Linked DNA regions of Astyanax mexicanus. The main gene of each other region encodes a partner of the protein of the gene in region 2 in a complex. Links are inferred from orthologs where the notes say so. Each region holds a gene or a part of one and is shown on either strand. Other genes may lie near its edges. The genes, in order: get1 and camlg.

Region 1 (13,073 bases), on a different chromosome or scaffold from region 2:
GCATTTCCATTTCCTGCTCTGCATCTTTTTGAAGAACCTTTAACATCTTTGAAAAACACAAAAAAGATTAAACATAATGCTACATATGTGTTGAATGAATGATGAATACAGCATTTATGTTAATCAAATACAAAGTATTCAGAAAGAGAGAATGCACTCTTACCCACAAAAAAACAGGATAGCATCAGTTAATGTCATTTTTACCCATTTCTTTTTTATCCATTCAAAGGTGGACTTTGGATCATTGTCCTGCTGCAGAACCCAAGTACACTTGAGCTTAAAATCACAAACTGTTTTTGAATTTCTTTAGATCAGGGCATAATGTGTCTTTGATATCTTTTATCTGCTTCATGATGTCAGACAGGATCTATTTAAATGATTTCTTGATTCTACAGGTCTGGCAGTAATCAGGCCTGGTTGTGATTAGTAAAATTTTACTCGGATTTACAAAACATATAGTTAGTGTTAACTTGTGAAGAACAATTACTTTTAGCATTGGGCCGGATTTGATTGGATAGCAGCTTTTTTTTCATTTAATTAAAAATAAATCTGTAAGTGAGCAAATACATTACCACAACACTGTTCATTAAGGTTGTTACAATATAAAAAGTTTGGATTTTGAAGTGTAGTATCACAATTCTGATCACTAAAACAGGACTGTCTGTAGGTGTTGGTGCAGAAGATGCCATCCTCTACCTGCTACGCAGAGAGCAATAATAAATGTGCAATACCTCTCCTGATAGACTTTTTAAAATCCATCCATCCACCCATCCATCCATCCAGATGGACGGACAGACAGACAGACAGACAGACTTGAAAAAGCACTAAACCTTCAATGCTTCAAAAAAACACCAATATTCATTTTGCGCAAACATAAACCTATAGCTTTTCAAGTTGTTGAAGGTGGAAAATGGAGCTGGGGCCCCCCCAAAATCCGGTGTGAAATGGACTTGGGTTGTATTGAAACACGCTTACAAACATGCTTTTGTTGAATAGTGCACCTAGTTTGCATTACAAATTACAGGACTTTTAGTCAATGCTCTCAACAGGATTACAATGCTAGGGATAGAGGTATAGTGTTGCTCATATATGAAATCACAATTTGTACAAAATGTACAAGGCTCAAAGCAGCTACACACTAAATTGGTAGAATTAAAATTATGTAAATGTCAGGGGCCTCATAGTTAAGTCTGGAGCTACTTTGAGCTTGATAATGGTGTAAAAATAGTGAATTCTTTGCCTGGGCAACGCTATTCCCACTTCTGTGCTGCCTGATCCTTTGCTGTGCGCAAGATAAAGATCACCACTACTACACTTCCTGAATCTCTATTGTGTTTTGACTACGTTCACAACTACTGTGCTGCCTGATCCTCTACTATGCTGTCTGATCTGCTGCTGTGCTGTCTGTACCTCTAGTCTGCTGCCTCATCTGCTGCTGTGCTGCCTGATGCTCTACTGTGCTGCCTGATGCTCTACTGTGCTACCTGATCCGTTTCTGTGCTGCCTGATCCTCTGCTGTGCTGCCTGATCCTCTGCTGTGCTGCCTGATCCTCTGCTGTGCTGCCTGATCCTCTGCTGTGCTGCCTGATCCTCTGCTGTGCTGCCTGATCCGCTGCTGTGCTGCCTGATCCGCTGCTGTGCTGCCTGAACCTTTAGTCTGCTGCCTGATCTGCTGCTGTGCTGTCTGAATCTCTAGTCTGCTGCCTGATCTGCTGCTGTGCTGCCTGAACCTTTAGTCTGCTGCCTGATCTGCTGTTGTGCTGCCTGAACCTTTAGTCTGCTGCCTGATCTGCTGCTGTGCTCCCTGAACCTTTAGTCTGCTGCCTGATCTGCTGCTGTGCTGCCTGATCCCTTTACTGTGCTGTCTGAATCTCTAGTCTGCTGCCTGATCCGCTGCTGTGCTGCCTGAACCTTTAGTCTGCTGCCTGATCTGCTGCTGTGCTGCCTGATCCTCTACTGTGCTGCACTGCCCAATCCTCTAATGGGCTGCCAGATCCCCTACTGTGCTGCCCAATCCTCTTCTCCTGTGCTGCCTGATCTGCTGCTGTGTTGCCTGATCTGCTGCTGTGCTGCCTGATCTGTTGCTGTGCTGCCTGATCCTCTACTGTGCTGCCCGATCCTCTACTGTGCTGCCCGATCCTCTACTGTGCTGCCCAATCCTCTACTGTGCTGCCCAATCCTCTACTGTGCTGCCCAATCCTCTACTGTGCTGCCCAATCCTCTACTGTGCTGCCCAATCCTCTACTGTGCTACCCGATCCCCTACTGTGCTGCCTGATCCCCTACTGTGCTGCCCAATCCTCTTCTCCTGTGCTGCCTGAGATGGTGTCCATCATTCCTGCGCTGCCTGTTTCTCTACTCTGTGTGTGACTACGTTCACCACCACTGTGCTGCCTGATCCTCTGCTGTGTGTGCGACTACGTTCACCACCACTGTGCTGCCTGATCCTCTGCTGTGTGTGACTACATTCACCACCACTGTGCTGCCTGATCCTCTGCTGAGTGTGACTACATTCACCACCACTGTGCTGCCTGATCCTCTGCTGTGTGTGACTACATTCACCACCACTGTGCTGCCTGATCCTCTGCTGTGTGTGACTACATTCACCACCACTGTGCTGCCTGATCCTCTGCTGAGTGTGTGACTACGTTCACCACCACTGTGCTGCCTGATCCTCTGCTGTGTGTGACTACATTCACCACCACTGTGCTGCCTGATCCTCTGCTGAGTGTGTGACTACGTTCACCACCACTGTGCTGCCTGATCCTCTGCTGTGTGTGCGAGTACGTTCACCACCACTGTGCTGCCTGATCCTCTGCTGTGTGTGACTACATTCACCACCACTGTGCTGCCTGATCCTCTGCTGTGTGTGACTACATTCACCACCACTGTGCTGCCTGATCCTCTGCTGTGTGTGACTACATTCACCACCACTGTGCTGCCTGATCCTCTGCTGTGTGTGACTACATTCACCACCACTGTTCTGCCTGATCCTCTGCTGTGTGTGACTACGTTCACCACCACTGTGCTGCCTGATCCTCTGCTGAGTGTGTGACTACGTTCACCACCACTGTGCTGCCTGATCCTCTGCTTTGTGTGTGACTACGTTCACCACCACTGTGCTGCCTGATCCTCTGCTTTGTGTGTGACTACGTTCACCACCACTGTGCTGCCTGAAGCTCTGCTGATTGTGTGAAATTTCGGGCACCGCTACTGTGCTGCTTGAGACGGTGTCCATCACCACTGTGCTGTCTGATCCTCTACTCTGTGTGTGACCTGAATGAACATGACTGTGAGCATACCATAGGGGTGTCACGATTTCGTTATTTTATTGAAATCGAGCAAAATTATGTCCCGGTCTCGAGCATCGAAGTCAAAAAGATGATCAACGATCCCTCTCTCTAAGGTACGCAAGCGCACACGCGCTACGCAAATAGCGCAGCACACTGTATTTTTTTATTATTTATTTTATGTTGCTGTTTTAATAGTGCACACTGCTGCTACAAAAAAAAACACTAGCTGGCATTACATATATATCTTAATTAAATTATTTTAATTTGACCAGTAGTGCCTATTGTGGAGTGTTACAGATCACTAATCTAAAACTGCCATAGGCCTCCCTGCTGTTAAAAAAAGAAAAAAGAAAATCGAATCGAATCGTGACCCTTAAATCGAAATAAAATCGAATCGAGGATTTAGAGAATCATGACACCCCTAGCGTACCATGCTGATAGCCCTCCTGGTTATTATTTTGTTTTTTAATTTGTCTTACAGCGACTAATGTAATCAAAATGCTTTGGCATACATTATTACTCTATTTTTGGATTTCAGTTTCCTCCATCTGTTTCTTAAAACCAAATGCTGGCTTTGTGCTAGTGCTCTCTGACTAGGTCTTTGATTTAAATCCTTACAATTTCAGTAATCACTCATGTCTGGACTGAAAAGAAAAAGGAGCACATTGCCATTTGCATTCTCCATATAGAAATTGTGACCACATTATTACTTTGGTGCATCTCCAAATTTTATTCCATCTATTTAGGTCTCTTAGATAAATATTTAGGTCAGATTCTTGCAAAAATAGAGAATTTTCTAACCACTGTATAGCTCAGAAAAAGTTGAGACAGTATGGAAAATGTAAATGAAAATAAAAATATATTTCTGCAATAGTAGAATCTTCCATGGCTTAAGGTCATTGTTGAAAGCTGGACACACAGGGTGCACTGCATTAAAACAGGCAAGCTGACAAATGGCTTTTTCCTGCATCATCCAGCTTTAACCTTCCTTTGTGGACTGCACTGTGTTCACAGACAAAGATGTTTGGCCATGCAGTAATTTCCAGTACAATTCAAGCCTGTTTTAATGCAGAAGATCACCAGAATCAAATACTGACAGACAGCCTTGCTCCCATTGCATTGATTATTAGTGTTGCTTACTTTTCCAGCCTTATGTTGCCTGAAATGCAGAAATGAATGTTTTAATGAATTAAATAAAATGAATGAAAGTTTACCAGACAAACCATGAAATATATCAGGTTAATAGTGTCTGCAATTATATATATAAAATGCAAAATGCAAAAAAAAAAAATATATATTATATATATATATATATATATATATATTTATTTTTTTTTTTTTTTTTTTATAGGAGTTTAGCATGCTTTTAGTAGCTACTTTTTCAAAACATTTTTATCATTCTTTTTAAAATTGAGAAAAAGTCTTTAGTTGCCCAAAGTTTCAATGAATGTTCATGCATTAATAATAACAGTTTAAATAGCCAGTGGCAACCTTTTCAAACTTTGTACCATAGAACTTGGGGTGGAAGCTCTTCTGATATTCTAGCCAATACATTGCAGGGCAGTTAGACACAGACAGACACACTGATACATTCACTCACACCTAGGGGGCAATTTCAACCAAAACCCAATTGGCCTGGACATGTTGTTTTTGGACTGTGGGAGGAAACCTATACAGACACGGGAGAATGTGCAAAATCCACACAGAAAGACATGGGCTACCCCAGCCAGGAATCGAACCCTTGCTGTGAGGCGACAGCGCTACCCACTGAGCCACAGTGCTGTAATTATATATTAATTAAACATTATTCCAACTTTTTTTATATAATTTTTTATCCCAATTTATTTTCTATTTTCTCTCAATTTACAAGGCCAATTACCCAACCCACTCATTAGGACACTTTCACTAGTGTTGCCCCAACACCAGAAGGGGAAAGACTAACACATGCTTCCTCTGACAAATGTGAAGTCAGATTTCGCCTCTTTTCCACTGAGGAGTAGCATCACAGCGCACTCGGAGGAAAGTGCAGCGACTCGGTTCTGATACATCAGCTCAGAGATGCCCTGTGCTGATCAACATCCCTCAAGGAGTGATGAGGAGAAAAGAGCGCCATCTACCCACCCAGAGAGAGCAAGGCGAATAGTGATTTTTCCAAGTATGTATTGCTGCAGACTGCAGCACCTCCAAAAAGGAGGGGCTTACCTCCAAATGGGAGGTCCACAGCTCCAAAGGGGAGGGGCTTACCTCCAAGTGGGAAGTCCACCAACAGTATAGGGCTGGAGACTGGGAGCGTTTGTGCGCGAGACCTCTCTCACCACGGCTCCGGCTAATGTCATAAAAAAAAGTCTTCCGTGATTATTATTATTACTATTATTCTATTACATCAAAGTAAATGTTATATAGAATGTACTATCACATTATATTATATTATACTATATAAAAGTCTACATCGTAAGGCAGGGAGACCTCACTCAGCACAGCTCCATTTCTCTGCCAAACGCCACAAAAAAGTCCTCCGTGGTTAAAAGGCTCATGGATGTCAATAAATATATTAGTCAACAATTAATGATTATTTATATTTCTTAAATGTCAATATAATAAAATACGTGCAGTGTGGATGTATTTATAATATTATTGGCTATGAATAAACAACTGCCTTTATTATTTAGATCTTTACTATTTTATAATTTGAAAAATTCACAGCATGGCAAATGTTTAAACGTTTTAAATAAATAAAATGTGGTTGCAATGTGCACAACATGCTTTTAGACTCTTAGAAAATGCATTTTAAAAGAAATAAACATTTAATAAACGAAATTGATTAATTAATTAACCTTTGGGGTTATTTACAAGCACAAAACGTCGTGAAAAACACCATACCGCGTAACACCAAGCACCAGCCTACTTGGATGTAGGCTCCGCCTGTTTGGAGGTATGTTCCTCCCCTTTGGAGGTGCTCCAGGCTGCAGCTATACACTTCTCGATTTTTCAGGGCTCCTGCAGCTGATGGCAAGCTACATGAACAGGATTTGAACTTATAAACTAAGTTAACTTTTAAAACCTCGAAAGATTTACATGCTGATATATTGAAAGCAGTGTGTAAAATTCAATCTCGTCGAGCAAATTACCCTTTATATCAGGTTTTTAACTAATTCCTTCTTTAGTATCATGTATCGGCTAACAGAAAGCATAAACTTACATAACAACAACAACAGGAATTATCTCTATCAGACTGGGGCAGCTGCTGGATTTGATCAGCGCTGCTCCTGAATGAAGCTGTGAAAGAACGCTGATGCACCACAGCAGTATATTCACAATACTCCGCTCAGTCAGCACTATCTGTTCTGTAAGAACCCTGTACTTATGAGGGATATACAAAAGAGGAAATAGACAAACCGTAAACTTACAAAGGAGGAAATAGACGGCAGGAATGTTTTAACGAGATTACACAGAAACACAGAGCTAAGCACCACGAGCCAGTTGTACGTGGAATCCATTTTGTTTGTTTATGAACTACTTCACCCGATTCGTGAACCGATTCGCTTCGGATGAGCCGGTTCGTTGTAATGAATCGGACTTATGATTTAAACGTACAGGGTGTGGCCAAAATGGCTCCCCACTCCCTCATGTGTACCTCAATAGAGGGAGACAGTTCACTAAGTTGCGAAGTAGTAAAACACAGGAATGAATTCGGACACTCCCTCATTATTATCATGCGCTCACTCTGCTCGCTTAAACATGAACAGCTGAAGGGCTGAACTGTGTGAAAGGGCTGAAGTCGTGTCGGAAATATCGTGCTACGAGATAGAGAGCACATGGACGCCACCACAAACTCGTATTAATGGGGAACTCGGATTTTAGATAATGCCCGAATTTCCCAGTTGGGGACGTGTCAGAGGTCAATAAATTAATTACATGTATTTAAATGGATAAAAAAATAATATATTGAAGCAGACAGTTCGTATTGTAAACTGCTTAACACGAACACTTGCAGGTTGTAAACCTGCACACATATTTAACACACATGCAGATAAAATCATTTAAATATATATTTGTGATATTTAAGACAAGGCCTTGTCATGCCAACGTAAACAATGACGTTGAGCCAACGTTGAGCCAACGTATGCTTGCTATCTGGGTATTTTATTTTATTAAGATCATGTTGTACTAAAACCTGTAATACTGTTGATATGCTGAACATCAGCTGTTTGTCCGGTTTTTTTAGCATTTGGGCGGAAACACCCAGTGTTTTTCACCCAGTCACCCAGTTTACTCAGTGACATGATTTTATCTGAATCTCACTGTAACAATCTGGCAACAAAAGCACAAAAAGACCCTATTGGCGCGTCGTACAAAGCGCCGTCTCAGTGCAAATAAAGCGGCGTTTTAGTTCCTCTCTTGGCGCCGTAAAAAGTGACGTTTAATAATAAGACAAAGAGCTCCACCTGCCGGTTTTAAAAGCCAATAATTTGAGGAGCCGCTCGCTGCAGCCTGTAGGAAGGCGGAGTTGGACATCCAACCCCGCCCACATCCAACTCCGCCCATGTCCAACTCCGCCTTACGTCTAAAGCAACACCCACCTTACGTCCGTCACGAACGCCTACATTTACTCCCGGTAAACAGGAATTGTAGCCGAGAAAGCAGCTAAATCATCTATCTGATTTATATCTCCGGTTATGGCGGTAAGTACAAATATTGAGTTATTTTTTAAGTTAACAGAGCTATTTTTATAATGTCCTCTTGTTTTTCTATATTATATTTTATGAATAAACGGTGAGTCGTTGATACGCACATGAAGGTTCTACCTCGGCGCGTGTACCATGTGGTTTGTTTGCTTCTAGCTAGTCATATTGCCGTTTTTTTTTTATGGATTCTAATGCAGAATTGCACCCAGTCTTGTCTAATTCAAACTTTAGTTATCTTACCTTCTGTTTTATGGGCTAAAATGCTACCAATGAATGGTATCACAGATAAACTCTCATAGCTAGTAGTGAGCTAGGCATCAGTTTTGTTTTTAAGGCATAGGGGTTATAGTCAGCTAACCTAAAAAACTGTTTAAACTGTCTATACAAGAAGTTAATTGGCTAACAAGATAGCAAGATAATCTAGCTAACTAAAATTGGTTCAAAGTCTTAGTCATACAAATAAATATTTGAAGATATCAATGCTTAATCCTCCTATTTAATTTGTCAGGAATAGCAATGGTATTCCCGGGTTAATTTGACCTGGTTCATTTTTAATTATCCAAAATATTTCTGAAACCAAAACAATCCTAACCAGAAGAGTAAATATTTAATAACTAACTCCATTGCTGATTGTTCTATCAACATTTAGTACAATAGTGTACAATAGAGGCAATAGTTCAATTAGTATAATTCACTTGTTTTTCCATTTTAAAAAATCTTACTTTTTTTTTTGTTTTACTACTTTGTTACTTTTAAACGACCAACACAATATTTTTACATATAAATGAAACATAACATTACAATTTCGTTTTAGTTTTAGTTTTTGCAGGGGGTTGTTGCAAATATGAAATTAACCATTTTCATGTTATATGTTAATTATACAAATAAAGGCAAGCTGAAGACGTTTCATACAGAAAAAAATACTTTTACTATCTTACTAAATGGATCAATTTGACCCGTAACGTAACAGGAGGGTTAAGTCGATGCACATTTATTACCTTTGTACTGATATTTCAGTACAGTTAAGATGTTTGTTTTCCCTTAGAAAAGGAATTACACTTACTGATTTTGAAATCATTTTAAAATTCTTGATTTTTTTAAACCTACAGGTGTAGTGCCATGAAAACATCACAGTGCTGCATGTAAAGACGAGTTTCGCAGGATGTACGAACTGCAGTGCTGCCAGAACTGTCAAGAAACTTATAAAGACTACATACTGGGTATGTTTGTTCTAAATAAATTTTTATAATTTTTTCCTGAGGTCAGAAATTGGTAAGTCAATATATTTAAGGTATTGGGGCTTGAGAGATTGTTACTTTGTGAAAGTGTGTGCTTTTACTTATATTACAGGGTACGTTGGGCATGGGAGACGAGGGGAGCTTGTGGCATTTTACAGCGAAAACGAGCACCCTGGATTCTGCAGCCAGCTTCATGAGTGGCTGGGTGTGTGAGTGGCTGGGTGTGTGAGTGGCTGGGTGTGTGAGTGGCTGGGTGTGTGAGTGGCTGGGTGTGTGAGTGGCTGGGTGTGTGAGTGGCTGGGTGTGTGAGTGGCTGGGTGTGTGAGTGGCTGGGTGTGTGAGTGGCTGGGTGTGTGAGTGGCTGGGTGTGTGAGTGGCTGGGTGTGTGAGTGGCTGGGTGTGTGAGTGGCTGGGTGTTGCATTTTTAAATAAAGACTTCTGTATTTGTTTGACCAAAGCATGTAACCAAACATTTTAAAGGCTAGTGTGCCAATAAATGCCAATAAAGATATTGTATTAGCTTGGACAAAGTGTTTGTAAATGGAGTTAATTTCCCTGGGAACTACTGTCAGCCATACAAAATTGGGAGAGGAGAAGCAGGAGAGGGATATCATTATTATTATTATTATTATTATTATTATTATTGACAAAATAGCTTTGTATACATATGATATTTTAATTTCTGAAACCACAGCATTTGATATATTGTACTCTATCGTTATACAGTGAGTCCAAGAAGTATTTGATCCCTTGCTGATTTTCTGTTTGCCCACTAATAAAGACACTATCCTTCTGCACTTTTAATGGTAGATATATTCTAACATGGAGAGACAGAATATCAAGACAAAAATCCAGAATATAATTTTAAAGAATATATTTTAATTAATTTGTATTTCAATGAGGAAAATAAGTATTTGATCCCTCTTGCCAAACACACTCAATACTTAGTGGCAAAGCCTTTTTTTGCAAGCACAGCGGTGAGACGTTTGTTGTAGTTAACCACAAGTTTAGCACACACACCAGGGGGAATTTTGGCCCACTCTTCTTTGCAGATCCTCTCTAAATCATGAAGGTTGGTGGGCTGTCGCTTGGCAACTCTGACCTTCAGCTCCCTCCATAGATTTTCGATCGGATTGAGGTCTGGCGACTGGCTGGGCCACTCCATGACCTTAATGTGATTTTTCTTGAGCCAATCCTTTGTTGCCTTTGCTGTATGTTTAGGGTCGTTATCATGTTGGAAGACCCAACCACGGCCCATTTTCAGATCCCTGGCAGAGGGGAGGAGGTTGTCCCTCAGGATTGTGCGGTACATGGCTCCATCCATCTTCCCAGTGATGCGGTGAAGTAGCCCTGTACCCTTGGCAGAGAAACACCCCCAAAACATTATGCTTCCACCTCCATGCTTGACGGTGGGCACAGTGTTCTTGGGGTCATAGGCAGCATTTTTCTTCCTCCACACATGGCGGGTGGAGTTGAGGCCAAAAAGTTCAATTTTGGTCTCGTCTGACCACAAAACCTTCTCCCAATAACTTGGTTCATCTTTCAAATGATCATTGGCATACTTGAGGCGCGCCTCCACATGTGCTCTCTTCAGCAGGGGTACCTTTCGGGCACTGCAGGATGTGAATCCATTGTTGCGCAAAGTGTTGCCAATTGTTTCCTTGCAAACTGTGGTCCCAGCTGCCTTCAGGTCATTTGCTAACTCCTGCCGAGTGGTTGCAGGACGATTTCTGACCGTTCTCAGCATCATTGCCACCCCACGAGGCGAAATCTTCTTTGGAGCACCGGGCCGAGGTCTGTTGATTGTCATGTTATACTCTTTAAACTTTCTGATAATTGCACCAATAGTTGTTACTTTCACATCCAACACCTTACTAATCTTTTTGTAGCCCATTCCAGCTTTGTGAAGGTCAACAATTCTGACTCTGAGGTCCTGTGACAGCTCTTTGGTTTTACCCATGTTGGAGACTTGAAATCTGTGTGATCTGTCTGATTCTGTGGACAGGTGTTTTTCACACAAGTGATTAGTGAGAACAGGTGGCTTCAGGTCAGGTAACAAGTTGATTGGGAGTGTCTAACTGGTCTGTAAAAGCCAGAACTGCTAATGAATACTAAGGGATCAAATACTTATTTCACTCCATGAAATACAAATCAATTAATATATATTCCTTAGATTTATTTTCTGGATTTTCTTTTTAATATTCTGTCTCTCCATGTAAGAATACATCTACCATTAAAAGTATAGAATGATCATGTCTTTATTAGTGGGCCAACGAAGAAAATCAGCAAGGGATCAAATACTTCTTGGACTCACTGTACACTATCCAGCATACCATTATTACCACCTGCTTGTTTCTGCTTCTATTGTTCTTTTTTTTTAGCTCCAATTAGCATCTAGGACACTTTAGTTGCATAATGGTTTACTGGTGTATAATATACAATAGGTATAAAACACTGTTCACTCTATTAGACACTTCTACCAACAGCTGCTTTACATTGTGAGTGAAAAGTCAGAGACAGAATCTTTAAATCTGTTGCTGCACAGTTTGTTGCAAATCTGCAAATTCTTCATCAGTGCCCATGGGATGCTGCCTACTTGATGCTGAATACAGGACGCTGCCCACATGATGCTGGTTGATGGAGCATTTCCTGTCCAGTAGTGACAATGAGGTGTTTAAATTCTCCAGAGGCACTACTTTGTCGGATCCACTCATACCAACACAGCTCTTAACACCACTATGTCAGTGTCACTGTAGTGTTGTGAATAACCAACAAGCCACTCTGTGGTGGTCCTAAATTGTATGCTATACAGTGCAGCTGTGTCATTCTCATCTGTAATATTTTCAGCACCCTGTTGACAGTGAAGATGCAGAATTACTTCTAATATCATTATTATATATTAGCTATGCCTATGACACAAATAGCCTCCCCCCTGCTGAGTGGTGATAAGTAGTGATGGGTCTAATGACCCTGAAACCTCGACACATGCGCCGAGCTGTCAAGGCGAAACCCCGTGTCGGTGCGCGTATCAAGTTAAGGAAAACCACGTGACCGATACACTTCCTGTATCGTTTGGTAGCGATGGGTCTGACGACACTGGAACCTCAGCGCATGCACCGAGCAAACAAGGCGATCCCCTGTGTCAGACCGCGTATCCTTTTAAGGAAAACCACGTGACCGATGCATTTCCTCGCGCAGTTTCTTGCAATGACTTTCTTAGTCCAGCAGATGTCGCCATTAAGTGATACAGCAACACAGTTTCAACACAGTGTCGATACAGTTTGGGAAATGTGCCATACACCCAATGAGGTTTCATCTGCCCATCACTAGTGATAAGAAGCACTGTCTATCTGTAATATGAAGTATAGAGCATTACAGTACAGAGAACAGGTGTGATCTAACAATCAAACACTTTAATAATCAGATGCACCCTTTGACCAGCCTCTATCAGTGCAAAGCCATGATTGATAATGTGCTCTTTATTTCATATGGAACATAACCAAAAACTGTATATCGTAAGTTTTAACTTTATATAATAAGTAAATAATGATTCCTATGATAGCTAATCAATAATTCTGGAGATATTTACCAGTCTAAAATAAATTTATAAAATCTACACACTCTGGCAACTAGTTTAACAAATTTAAATGTAAGGATTAATGCAGTGAAATAATGGCTTACTCTGCTGGTGAGTGGGACAGATTAATGTATAATGTATTGTGATATACAGGACAGAGGCAATTGATCTTTTGGAAACAGCAAATCGTTGTATGCAATTATTTGCTTATTGTATAAAATCAAGGAGAAATGGCACACGTGATGAAAAAGAAGAGCAAGAGTTCCCTCTGTTACACAGAA
Region 2 (12,810 bases):
GATGGCAGTGCCGCGAAAACATAGGGTCCTAGAACTGCGGTCCTGAAATTGAAATTTTATTGGCTTTTGAAAAAAAAATGTATTTGTTTATCTGAAAAAAGAGACCCATGCTGAGATTAAATTACCTTTATTGTACCTTTAGTGATATTTTGTATTCTGGACAACAAGCAGAAGAATATTCAGGTTTTCAGTAGCAAGTTGCAGCATTTATTCACATTTTATTGGTTACAATTTCGTACAGATTAATTACATATCAAAAGAAACCCACAGCATAAATAACAAATTATTACAACAACCACCATCTCACAGAATCACTGTAAACATAATCAGAATCAGGTTAAAACCGCTTAGAGCAGAAAACACTGATGTTCTAAAACGGAATCGATTTCAATTAATTTTTAAAAGTCACACAAGAATTTACACAATAGGCGACAGAGAGACAGCCAGGATATTGCAGCAGTACACATACTCCAAACCAGTCGATAAACTGGAGAGTTCTGATTATGCAGATGAATATAAAGTTGATGTATGATGAAGCATTTTATATATATATTTTTTTATTCCACCTTAAATCGGTGCAGAAGTTACATTTATGCAACACAGGCCAACCTGAACTTCATACACACTCACAAACACGCACCCAACAAAAGAGTTCATAGCTTCAGAACACACACACACACAGCATTCCAGACCCTCTTCCTGGACATCTTCTGTCCTGGTTACTGTCCTGTCTACTGAACCTTCTTTAGCTTTCTGAATTCAGCTTGACTAATTATTAATTAATCTGTTTATTATTAAAGAGCTCATTTCCTCCTTTTCTTCAGAGCCCCACTCATAACATATGTGTGTTTATAAATCATATTTTATTAATAAAATGATCAAAAAATTATGAACAGGCTGCTTTTGTTACTGTGTCTTTAAGACTGAGAAATGTAAATAACTCTTTCCTGATTAAATGCCCAGTGTTGTGTCTTTTTCAAAAGCATCAGGCTAAATGTGAGGGACTAAACTTCTGTAGACTGAATTGGTAGAGCTACACTGCTTTTGGCTGAATGAGCAGGACCAAGGTGCTGTAAGATGAATGAATTGAACTAAAATGCTGTAAGCTCAATAGGTGGAGTTTAACTGTTGAATGCTAAAAGGGTGGAGCTAAACTTATGTAAACTGAATTGGTAGGGCTAAAATGCTTGTAGAGTGAATGGGTGGGGCTAAACATGCTGTTCCTGAATGAGCAAGGCAAAACTGCTGAAAAATGTATTGGTAGGGCCACTCTATTTGTAGGGTGACTAAGTGGGGCTAAATGTAACTACGCGCATCATGCAATGGGCAACAGCAGCTCTAATTGGTCCACTGAGCCACCCAAACATTCCCGCCTCCACGGTTAATACTGCTGAGTGATGCAGAGATGTGGTCACGTGCAAACATATGTATAAACGCGCACAGCTGGCTCTTACGCAAGCTACACTTTAAACAACGCATAGACTTGACGCAGAAGTATAAATTGACCTTTAATTGGTGAAGCTAAAATTCTTTAGGTTCAATAGGCGGAGCTAAAAAGGTGGAGACTAAATAAGTGGGATAATGGAATTTCATGTGTGAAACCACAAACTATTTTTTCAAATCAAACTGTTTTCAGGAGATGGGCTGCTGTATATGACGCATTTGAAAATGTAAAAAAAAATCAAGGTCTTATTCACAAAGAATTGAAGAAAGAAATATCTTCACACCGACCATACCCAAAACCACACTGTGCAGCACTTGGGCAGGTAATCAAGAACTACCAGAGCAGTCGATTAGCTGGAGTGTGTCTCAGAAAGAAGGTGGAAGCAGACTTCGAAGTAAGGTTTTACCTAGGTAGTGACCATTGCTGAAATTGATCCCTACTTCTTTATTTGAGTTGGTCTCTACAGGAGAAAGTGTTCAGTTCAATAACACATTTTCATCATTAGCCTGCACATCATTAGGAGGATTTACTAGTGTTTGTTGGGTTCACTAGCATTTGTCAGATTCATCCACGAACAGTGGGTTCACCATCAATTGCCAGGTACATTTTTGTTGGAAAGAACATTCTGGTTTCACCAGCATTCACAGGGTTCTGCAGCATTTGCAGCGTTAACAAGGATTAGCAGTGTTCGCCAGTGATTGCTTAGTTTATCAGGTTCACTAGTGTTCCTCGGTGCTTGGGGATTTTGGCAGCATTTTGAACATTAGCAAAATTCACAGGGTTCAGCAGTACTCACAAGCATGTGCTGGGTTTACTAGCATTCCCAGTGTTAGCAGCAATCCCAGCCAGTTCTAGCTACTATATTTGAAGCTGTTGTGTTTATAGTTTTATTTTTTGTTACTCTGGGGCCACTGTTGGCCACAGCTGCTGTGGTGATCCCTGTTGTTCACTAATAATAAACAGGTTGCTCTGAAATTCCACTTTTCATTTCAAATATCAAATTTTCCTATTATCTAATTCCCATTCATATGAACTCCCCCATCACTAGTTATGCCCACAACACTAGGAGCATGAGGACCAGTACATGCCTCCTCAGATACTTGTAAAGTCAGTCACTACCCCCAATGCAGGCAGTTAACACGGATACCACACTGGAATTGATGAGAGGATAAAATGCCATCAACCAACCCTTAGAGAAACCATCACCAGCTATGCTCTCTCTGACTCTGACTGCTGTAAGTAGCATGATTCGCCATTCTTACCAGCGTTCCACTTTTTAAAGTAAATAGTTAAAGTACTCAATAGTGTGCCACAAATCTCAGATAGGGATCCATTTCAGTCTCAGCCTAGATAGCCTAAATGAGCAGGGGGACAGATCCCAGATCAGCTCTCCTGCTCAAAGAAGCTTTATGAATGAGATGTCTGTTGCATAAACTGCTGACCAGCAGTCACCAACTTTGCTCCTGATCCCGTACACACAGGGGGACCTGTGTGGGTCTGGGTCAGACTGGATCAGGGGTTAGAGTGAACTCTCTAGGAGCAGAGCTGGTGACCGGCTATTGACCAGTGTGGTAACCAGCTTAGTGTCGTCAGCTGAAGTTAAACAGATTTTTACAGCTCAGAATAAATTATTTTCTCCCACTGGTCTGCTCTGAAGCTCAGAGGCCGCTGGGTTGGTTTAGGAGAAAGGTCTAAAACTGCTCACAAAGCGGCACAAGTAAAAGGGTCAGGCAGCATTCAGCCCTTCATACTGTAACGATGCTCCACCCATCACGATGACTCAGACCCGAACAAGAGGATGAGCTCGTGACACATGATAAAGGTGAAGAAATACACGCAGAGGTCGGCAAACACGTCGCCCATTTTCCGATAAGTGTCCATGGAATGGTTAATGACCTCAGCCGGAATGCCGGACAGCAGGAGGGCAGCAGTGAGGACAGTGGTCTTTGACTTTTTCTCCACCTGAGAGAGAAAGAAACAGAAAAATCACAAATATTAAATAACCACTTAAATTAGAACCAAAATATTTGATAAACACAAACCTCTGCCCACTTGTATACATTTTATGGCTACATATCTGTTTGTCAGCCGCTTTCCTCAATGTCTGCTTTGAATAACACTTGAATAAGCATGAATAAGCATGCTAGCCTGTATGGGTAAACATCCCTCATAAAGAGAGACGTTAACACAAAATGATTTTTTTTGTGGATGAGAGGCAGACGAACTGTTTTAAAAAATATCCAGATGTGTGGAGGAGGCCAAATTACATTGCTGTGAACAACGCAACAGAAACACATAAAATGTAACCGTAAATTTTTGACACTAATAAATAATTGGTGTTTGAATAGATTTTTTTTATTGAGTGATTTGAGTGCGTGAGTGTTATTGGGTACTGTGTGACTGTTTATAATGCACAGTCTACGTGTAGTGGGTGGAGATGAAGATTGGTATTCCCTGCTTTTGTTGGAAAGTGATTTTTAAGTCACTTTTACTGGACAGGGTTTACAAATGCATTTCTGGACAAGAAAGCCCAAGTTACATTGTGATTTTTTTGTACGTTGAGCCTGGAGTAATACAGAGATTAGATAGATCAGCTTTAAACTGCTTTAAATTGCTGAACGTGATGTAATGACGCACCTTTGGAAAGTACTTGTATAACCCCATGTAGGCCAGCTCCAGAGTGAGAAACGGTGCAAATATTGACTGCAAAAAAGAAAGTAAACCATCACATAAACACAAGCAATAACAATGGTAATATCAATTAATGTTTATACGCTATCATGATTTAAATGAAATAATAGCACAAAGAATAACAGAACAATTAATAATAGCACAATTATACTATACAATTATACAAAATAATGAGTAATCTAAACTCTATATACATACAACCAGTTCTAATCTAAAAACAAAGTGGATTTATAAACACCTAGGGAACGTGCATACCTAATGTTCTGTGAAGCTATTTTAGCTTCATCTGAGGCCTTAGTGTCCAGTCGAATCCATAGAGGATAGCTTTGACTGCGAAACTCGGCCCAGTGGGAGGACTTTGGCTCTCTTTGGATTAGACTGGCTACCCCATTAGGGAAAGTTGCCTCTAAACCAAAGCAAGATTTTCTTTTCTTTTTTTTTTTTTTTTTTTTTTTTTAAAACATCAATATTGAAACTGTGTTTGTGTTTAATCCAGCAGGTAGCTCCAAGGTTATTGAGTACTTTGAAAAAGTGAATCGATTCTGTAAGTTCTGTTTAAAAAAAACACCACACGCCCCTCCTCTAGTTTTAAAACAATTCCACATTTTGACAACAAACTGCATTTCTTTCAGAACATCAACTCACCAAGTACTGGCAGACGAAGATGCGTACAAAGACAGCTAAAAGGACACTCCCGGTGAGCCGGAAGAGACGGAAGGGGTCAAGCTCCTCCGGGTCAGAGCTGCTGTCCTGTGCCGCCTTCTCGTTCGCTAGCTGACCCCGCAGCTTCATTGCGTCGTCAAAGCGGGACAGGTACTTCTGCAGGCCCCTTCGAGGAGAGCGCGAGTGCTCATCACTGGACAGCTCTCCCCGTGGCCGCTGTCGCACCCCACGGGACAGGTCATCCTCCCCCAGGTCCTCTCTGCTGTCCGGCAGGGGAGAGCCCCGCCTTTCAGGGGTGCTGCTGGGGGTTGTGTTTTTGCTGCCACCCGTCTCAGAGATGTATGGAGAGAGGCGCTTAGAAGACACCGGTGGCGTCCAGGCATCATTTGGGTCCAGGTCTAGGTGGAAGCGAGGCTCCATCGTGTGTCGGGCTTCTATGTGAAAGACGGAGAAAGGGAAACAGTTGAAAGTGTTATTAGAAAAAAAAAAAAAGTGTTAGAAAGTATTATTAGTATTAAAGTATTATTAGTATAAAAAGTATTAGAAAGTGTTATTAGTGTTATTAGAAGTATTATTATTTTTTATTATAATAAAAAATAATAAAAATACTAAAATAACTTAATTTTATTCTAAATAATTATTGTTACTTTCAAGTGTGAACAGCTTTCATGTCCATAAAGAACCACAGCCTAGAAAACTCCTTTGTGTTCACAGACGTTGTTTTGTTGTTTATAACAAACACAAGAAGGCAAAAACAATATGTGCACCTTAAAAAAAACACAATTCACTCCTTAGTAAGGATATTCCTATACTGTTGGAATGGACAGTGTGTAGTAGGGGTGTGCTATATTTTGTCATACACAATCATTTTTTTATGTTTTGCCATTTACTGTTCTATTAATAGTTTGCAGTTTATATGTAGGCACTAACTAAGCTGGACTTAAGTTCTGTGGTAGATGTTTGTGTTTATATTACATTATTTCTGTTACCTTTTTTAATTTTGTAACACTACAGTCTTGGTAAACTACTGTCTAGAAAATAGACATTTATAGATTTTGTTTCAGCTGAATAAATTTGTACTAAATAAAACATTTATATGTATTTTGTTGCAGAAGTATACTCTTGAAATGTATTTAAAAGAATTACTGCAAAAACACCCTGAAATATCGTGATATTATTTCACGGCCATATCGCCCAGCCCTAAGCGCTGAATGGGATTAAGCTGAATTTGACTCCTCATTATGAGATAGAGTAACTGGGGCGCCTGAATGGAGCAGGGTTAGTTACCTTCTGCACCATGTAAGGCAGACCGGTAAATCCCAGTAACTACCTGAGGAATAAGCAGGCCTCCCCGGTTCATTAACTGGTTTAGGGTGTAAATGTGCTCTCTGTATGAATGTGCTGACCGCTGCTATCCGCGTCGCCCTTCCCGAAGCCCACTATTCTGTTCATCCTCTGCTCGGAGTTCTGCAGCAGCCTCCTCCGCCTGCTCTCCGCCCGGCGCTGAGCTGCGCTGCGGCCGCTCGCCTCGTCCCCGGCCTCCATCCCCTCTCTGCCCGCTCCAATCGCTCCTACGGCTCCCGGTGGTCCGATTCTCTCCGGGGGCTTTAATAATCCTGTGTTTAACTGCCTTATCCTCGCTCCGCTTCCTTGCTCCGGGATCCTCTGCGCGCACACAAACACCACACTACTGCAGGCCCTCAGCGCAATGGCGGCACAGCTACAATAAAAGTCCTCTTAGTGAAAAAATGAACTCAAAATAAAAAAGGCGAAAAGGTGATTAAATCACCGAATTAAAAAAACACGAACTAAGTAGAGAGATTCAAGTAAAATAAAAAAATATAAAGTAAATTTCGTTAATTATATGGAATATTTAATGCACAGATGCACTGTAAAGAAATACACATCAAGATAAAAGTTGTTTAACAAAAGAAAAAGAAGATAATCTAGAAAAGAGCAAAACCAGTAGAGTTTGATGGTAGATTTTCTATAATATAATTAATATAATAAAATTATTTTATATACAATGTAGTAAACAAATTTAACAGTTGCAGTTGCAGTAATTTTATAAAAAAAATTATAAAAACGCTGTGAAACGTGCTATTATTATTATGTTTAATATTTAATATGTATTATTATTATTATTATGTTTAATATTTAATATGTATTATTATTATTATTAGTATATTTATTATTATGTTTAATATTTAATACTTATTATTATTATTATTATTATTATTATTATTATTATTATTATTATTATTATTATTATTATTATTTGTATTTGTATTTGTATTTGTATTTGTATTTATACAGTGTAAAGCAAGCAGAGTCGAGTGATCAGCCTGTAAGTAAGCGTAGGATTGTGGGTAATGTAGTGAAGGGGCAGACTTGTTGTACTTTTATAGACACTTCCCCAACCGTCCGCTTGTGAGTGTGTGTGTGAGAGAGAGAGAGTGCGAGTGAGAGAGATGAGCAGACTGTGCGCGGGACAGTATGAGGAAGTAGTGAGTGTGTGTTGGTGCTGAGTGTAGAGGGGTATGATGGTGCAGGTTTGGGTAAAGACCCTGATAGTGTGTGTGAGTGTGTGTGTGAGTGTGTGTAGGGGAGCTGGTTCTCCTCCGCACGTGGTCTTCGTACTTGCGGATGATCTGGGCTGGAATGATGTGGGTTTTCGCGGCTCTGAGATCCGGACCCCGGAACTGGACCGGCTGGCTGCAGCGGGGGTCCGGCTGGACGGGTATTATGTCCAGCCGCTCTGCACCCCGTCCAGGAACCAACTAATGACCGGCAGGTACCAGGTAAGACTGCAGTACACACACTGAACCCACAGCTGCTGTCAGTGCTGCGACTGCTGCTGTAACAGCTACTACAGCTACTGTCAGTGCTGCTACTGCTGCTGTAACAGCTGCTACAGCTGCTGTCAGTGCTTCTAGTGCTGCTGTAACATCTGCTACAGCTGCTGTCAGTGCTGCTACTGCTGCTGTAACAGCTACTACAGCTACTGTCAGTGCTGCTACTGCTGCTGTAACAGCTGCTGTCAGTGCTGCTACTGCTGCTGTAACAGCTACTACAGCTACTGTCAGTGCTGCTACTGTTGCTGTAACAGCTGCTACAGCTGCTGTCAGTGCTGCTAGTGCTGCTGTAACAGCTACTACAGCTAATGTCAGTGCTGCTACTGCTGCTGTAACAGCTGCTACAGCTGCTGCCAGTGCTTCTACTGCTGCTGTAACAGCTGCTACAGCTGCTGTCAGTGCTGCTACTGCTGCTGTAACAGCTGCTGTCAGTGCTGCTACTGCTGCTGTAACAGCTACTACAGCTACTGTCAGTGCTGCTACTGTTGCTGTAACAGCTGCTACAGCTGCTGTCAGTGCTGCTAGTGCTGCTGTAACAGCTACTACAGCTAATGTCAGTGCTGCTACTGCTGCTGTAACAGCTACTACAGCTACTGTCAGTGCTGCTACTGCTGCTGTAACAGCTGCTACAGCTGCTGTCAGTGCTGCTACTGCTGCTGTAACAGCTACTACAGCTACTGTCAGTGCTGCTACTGCTGCTGTAACAGCTGCTGTCAGTGCTGCTACTGCTGCTGTAACAGCTACTACAGCTACTGTCAGTGCTGCTACTGTTGCTGTAACAGCTGCTACAGCTGCTGTCAGTGCTGCTAGTGCTGCTGTAACAGCTACTACAGCTAATGTCAGTGCTGCTACTGCTGCTGTAACAGCTGCTACAGCTGCTGTCAGTGCTTCTACTGCTGCTGTAACAGCTGCTACAGCTGCTGTCAGTGCTGCTACTGCTGCTGTAACAGCTACTACAGCTACTGTCAGTGCTGCTACTGGTGCTGTAACAGCTGCTTTAGCTACTGTCAGTGCTGCTACTGCTGCTGCATTACTGTAACAGCTACTGTAGGTAGTTACTGTTAATGCTGCTACTGCTGCTGTAACAGCTACTACAGCAACTGCTGCTGTAACAGTAATAATGTAACAGGTACTACAACCACTGTCAGTGCTGCTACTGCTGCTGTATTGCTCTAATAACTACAACAGCTAGTTACTACTGTCACTACTACAAGTATTACTTTAACTGCTACTGCTGTCACTACTCTTACAAGTAATTCTATAACATCTACTGCTGTCACTACTCTTACATGTATTACTATAACACCTACGGAAGTAATGTCTATATACATCCCAACAAACATGTTCATAGTCAAAAGCTTAAATTAGCCTTGTGTTAGCCTAATTCAGATTCTTTCACAAATATATTGGAAATCCACCTCAAACAGCTGAATTATAGATAAATATACACTCGCTTGGATAAAGCAAAAAACAACTGCCCTGACACAACTTCCTGGTGTGAAACTACATCTCTCTCACTCTGCAGACCAAACTTTACTGTCTCTACTGTAAAGTCATGTTGAATACAACCGTCTACTATATGCAATATAACTGTTTACTGTGTACTGCTCTGCAAGAGTAAGGGTTTGGGCTGCACAATATATTGCTTCGGCATTGATATCGCAATGTACACATGTGCAACAGTCTCACTGCAAGATGTGCAAGGATTTGTCAAGGATTTTTTTTTTCACACTGTTCTCATCTTGCACGACAGTAGGTGCCAGATTAACTACTGTATTTATCTTATGGCATTTATTTTACTCCAATCATTGACACACAGATTCTCTTATATTATGAATATTATGAAAAACCTGTATTTTCTTTTTTATATATATATATCAGTAAGAACCACAAAATATCGCAATGTTATTTTTTTCCAATATTTTGAAACCCTAGTAAGGATTATGTGCATTATCCCCTGTTTACTTATCTTATCTTATCTTTCTGCTTATGCTACCATTACTGCTGCCATTATTACTGCTACTACTACCATTAGTACAGTAGTACAATTGCTATTACTGCTTCTAATACTACTGTTACTACTGTTTCTGTATAATTGCTATTACTGCTATACTGTAAATACTCCTATTATTTCACTGTTCTGCTGTTTCAGATTCACACAGGGATGCAGCACCAGATAATCTGGCCGTGCCAGCCGTACTGCGTCCCTCTGGAGGAGAAGCTGCTGCCACAGCTGATGAAGGAGGCAGGTTACTCCACCCACATGGTGGGCAAATGGCATTTGGGCATGTACAGAAAAGAGTGCCTGCCCACACGGCGTGGTTTCGACTCCTACTTCGGTGGGTGGATGTTGATGATATTATTATCCACTTCTAAGCCAAAACTTACAGTACTGTGACACTTTTACGGTGCTACTGGAGACTGGGCATCACTCCTGTCATGCATTTTGGTTGGCTCTAGAGTATGTAATGGTATGTTGTCTAAAGTTTAGTGCTGTACCAGAGATGCATTGCTAATACAGCTAACGACAGCTTTAATTCTGAATATAGTCTGTAGTTTCGTCCAGGTTTGTACATACAGAGTCAAAAATCACATGCACCTGTTCGAGATCTTTCAACATGGTTTGAAGTGACATAGAATTTAAGTTATCTTCTGATTCGCCATGTTCCTATTTACATTGTCCATTTCACATTAAGGGGAATAGTACCCATTAAGTATCTGAATAAACCTGCTAATAACTGTAAAATAAAAGTATATCCATTTAACACAAGTGTGTAATGATAGCACCATGTTAACTGCATAGATAGTGTAATACAGAATCATCCTGTTAAACGTATAAAGGCTTTTTTATTTAAATAAATCCTACTGCTTCTCTCCCTCAGTTGATTTGCCACTCCATAAAAATATAAATTTCTCTCTATGCTCATCATTGGGTCTGTTTATGGTTTAGGTATAAGCCCATCAGCATGCTGCTTAAACTATGATCAAGGGAGGGTCAGCATTCTAGAAGGAGATCCCCCTCTCAATGTGGAGATCTGCACAAGCGCAGTAGCCAGGATATGCATGTGCATCATTGAGACAGATTTCAGTATATCATTCTCTACCTATTTAAAAAGATGGATGGCTGGTCTAGTAGGCATGAAGATAATGGCTGCAGAGTGAACAGACTTTCCTAAAAGATCAGTTTGCATCTAAACAAGGACGTTTACAGAAATAGAAAGTGACATGGGGAAAATACCTACTGCAAGTGGAAAGAGTGTGTGTGTGTACAAGCCCCATTGCACCATATGTAATTGGGCTTGGTACATCTTCTAAAGTTTGCAACTTTAGGCATACGCTACCTTTACTTGTTAGCTTTCTCTTCTAAGATCCTGTATAAAACTCACACTTGTCCTGACTGATAGTACTTTGTGAAATTATGTAAATTTGATTCTTTGCTTCTCCTTTTTGACTTACAGGATACCTAACCGGTTCTGAGGATTATTTCACCCATCAGCGATGCTCTTACATCACTCCACTGAATGTCACTCGCTGTGCCCTGGATCTGAGGGATGGGGAGCAGGTTGCTAAGGGTTACAATGGCTCCTTCTCTACCGAGCTCTTCACTCAGAGAGCAACCAGCATTATTCAGCAGCACAAACCCAACCAGGTAGGCTAGCACTGCTGAGAATGTAATGGGACTTTATATCCCACCTTATAATCCACATATGTGCCCCAGTTAACTACAAGGCTAAAGTAAAAAGTTGCGCCACAAACCAAAATCTTTAAAATATCAAAAACAATACTAACAGTAAATTAATATAAATTAGCAGAAGGTTACATTGTAATAATAATAAATACATGGTTAAAAACCTAAGCTTAAGAGTTACTTAACTTAACTTAAGAGTTAAAAAAGGCAAAATAGATCATTGGCATATAATGCTTTATTTGAGATTGTTTTTAAATCATAATTGCATTGAAACATTATTTACCAGTGAGATTTTTCTCTTTGTTTTTTCATTATATTTTATGTAATTTCACTTTAACACTTAGCAGAATAATATTACCGTATTTAGAGGCTGTGTTCAGCAGTGCTCGACAGTGCTACACTGAGAGACCCTGAGTGTTATGGTAAGTCCGGGCCCTATCAGCCAGTTATTGGCTAATGCTTTTACTGTTCCAGCCTGGAGAAACTTTACTGAAAAATCACCCTTATAACGCTGTATTTAAGTGGAGAGGCTTTACTCGATTAAAAGGCGCTCTGACGGTGCTCCTTATAGTAATATTATAATATAATATATAATATATATAATATACAGTAATTTATTTATTTGGATATTTCACAGTGTTTGTAGACAATGTCATTGTTTTGGAATATTGTACAGTTCTCCATGCTTTGTGAATTGATCTTCCAACAGGCAAAATGGAGTGAATCTGTATTTACTAGTTTTCTCTCTGGTAAATAAATCCTTCCCTTGAGCAATCAAAAACAACACACACATCTTGTAAACTTGTGTATCAGCTTACATCCTGAGTACCCCACTTGTAAATGCCACTTTGGCTGCTATAGGGCTAATGTAGCTATAGCTATAAAGGATATTTAGAGCTTTTACTGTGACAAATATTTAAAACTAGCAAATACCTATTATCTAGCATATACCTAGCATTTAGTAATTATTACTTAAATAATTGACTGATGGAACCAGTACTGGAAATATGAGCCTAAAGTTTTATATAACTTATGAGCCTCAGTTATCTGGTTACATTAGCACTGGCTAATTTCGATGTAGCAAGTATTTGAACGGCACCAGTTCTATGTAGCTAATTTAGCTAGCAACAAATATCTAAGCTTATAGCACACAAATATGCTTCAGTTTTTACTGGAGCTACATAGCTACTGTACTTATAGATAATAATTTAGGCTTAGACTTCAACAAAAGCATTAAAACCCACTTATAATGTCATATTAGCACTAAAGCAGACAGGCTAGGCTACTGTATCTAACAAGTCCCAAAATAGGTGGGGAAACATCTTCTCAGAATTGGGAAATAGACCGTTTTAGTGCACAACTTGAGAGTGGTTGTGACTGTGGTCAGCATTAACCATCTGCAGTTAAAACCGGTCTTTTAGCTTGTTGTAATCTCCTTACAGTCAATTTTAGTTCACAGCAATGTTCCA

Evidence for each region.
Region 1: camlg (region 2) and get1 share a complex: the UniProt entries of both Homo sapiens proteins name them as parts of the golgi to ER traffic (GET) complex. The link is inferred for Astyanax mexicanus from reciprocal best matches to the Homo sapiens genes CAMLG and GET1.

Annotation. Positions count from the first base shown.
Region 1 is NC_064411.1:24,685,105-24,698,177, reverse strand, and holds the start of get1 (guided entry of tail-anchored proteins factor 1), read right to left. Parts: upstream 6,846-13,073; 5' UTR 6,790-6,845; coding exon 6,700-6,789; intron 6,307-6,699; exon of another isoform or gene 6,173-6,306; intron 5,619-6,172; exon of another isoform or gene 5,537-5,618; intron 47-5,536; coding exon 1-46. UniProt on the Homo sapiens protein: Required for the post-translational delivery of tail-anchored (TA) proteins to the endoplasmic reticulum (ER).
Region 2 is NC_064424.1:33,509,051-33,521,860, forward strand, and holds camlg (calcium signal-modulating cyclophilin ligand), read right to left. Parts: upstream 6,523-12,810; 5' UTR 6,344-6,522; coding exon 6,205-6,343; intron 5,233-6,204; coding exon 4,781-5,232; intron 4,148-4,780; coding exon 4,082-4,147; intron 3,407-4,081; coding exon 3,215-3,406; 3' UTR 112-3,214; downstream 1-111. Other genes in the region: arylsulfatase B, read left to right, coding at 7,339-7,599, 9,806-9,992, 11,112-11,302. UniProt on the Homo sapiens protein: Required for the post-translational delivery of tail-anchored (TA) proteins to the endoplasmic reticulum.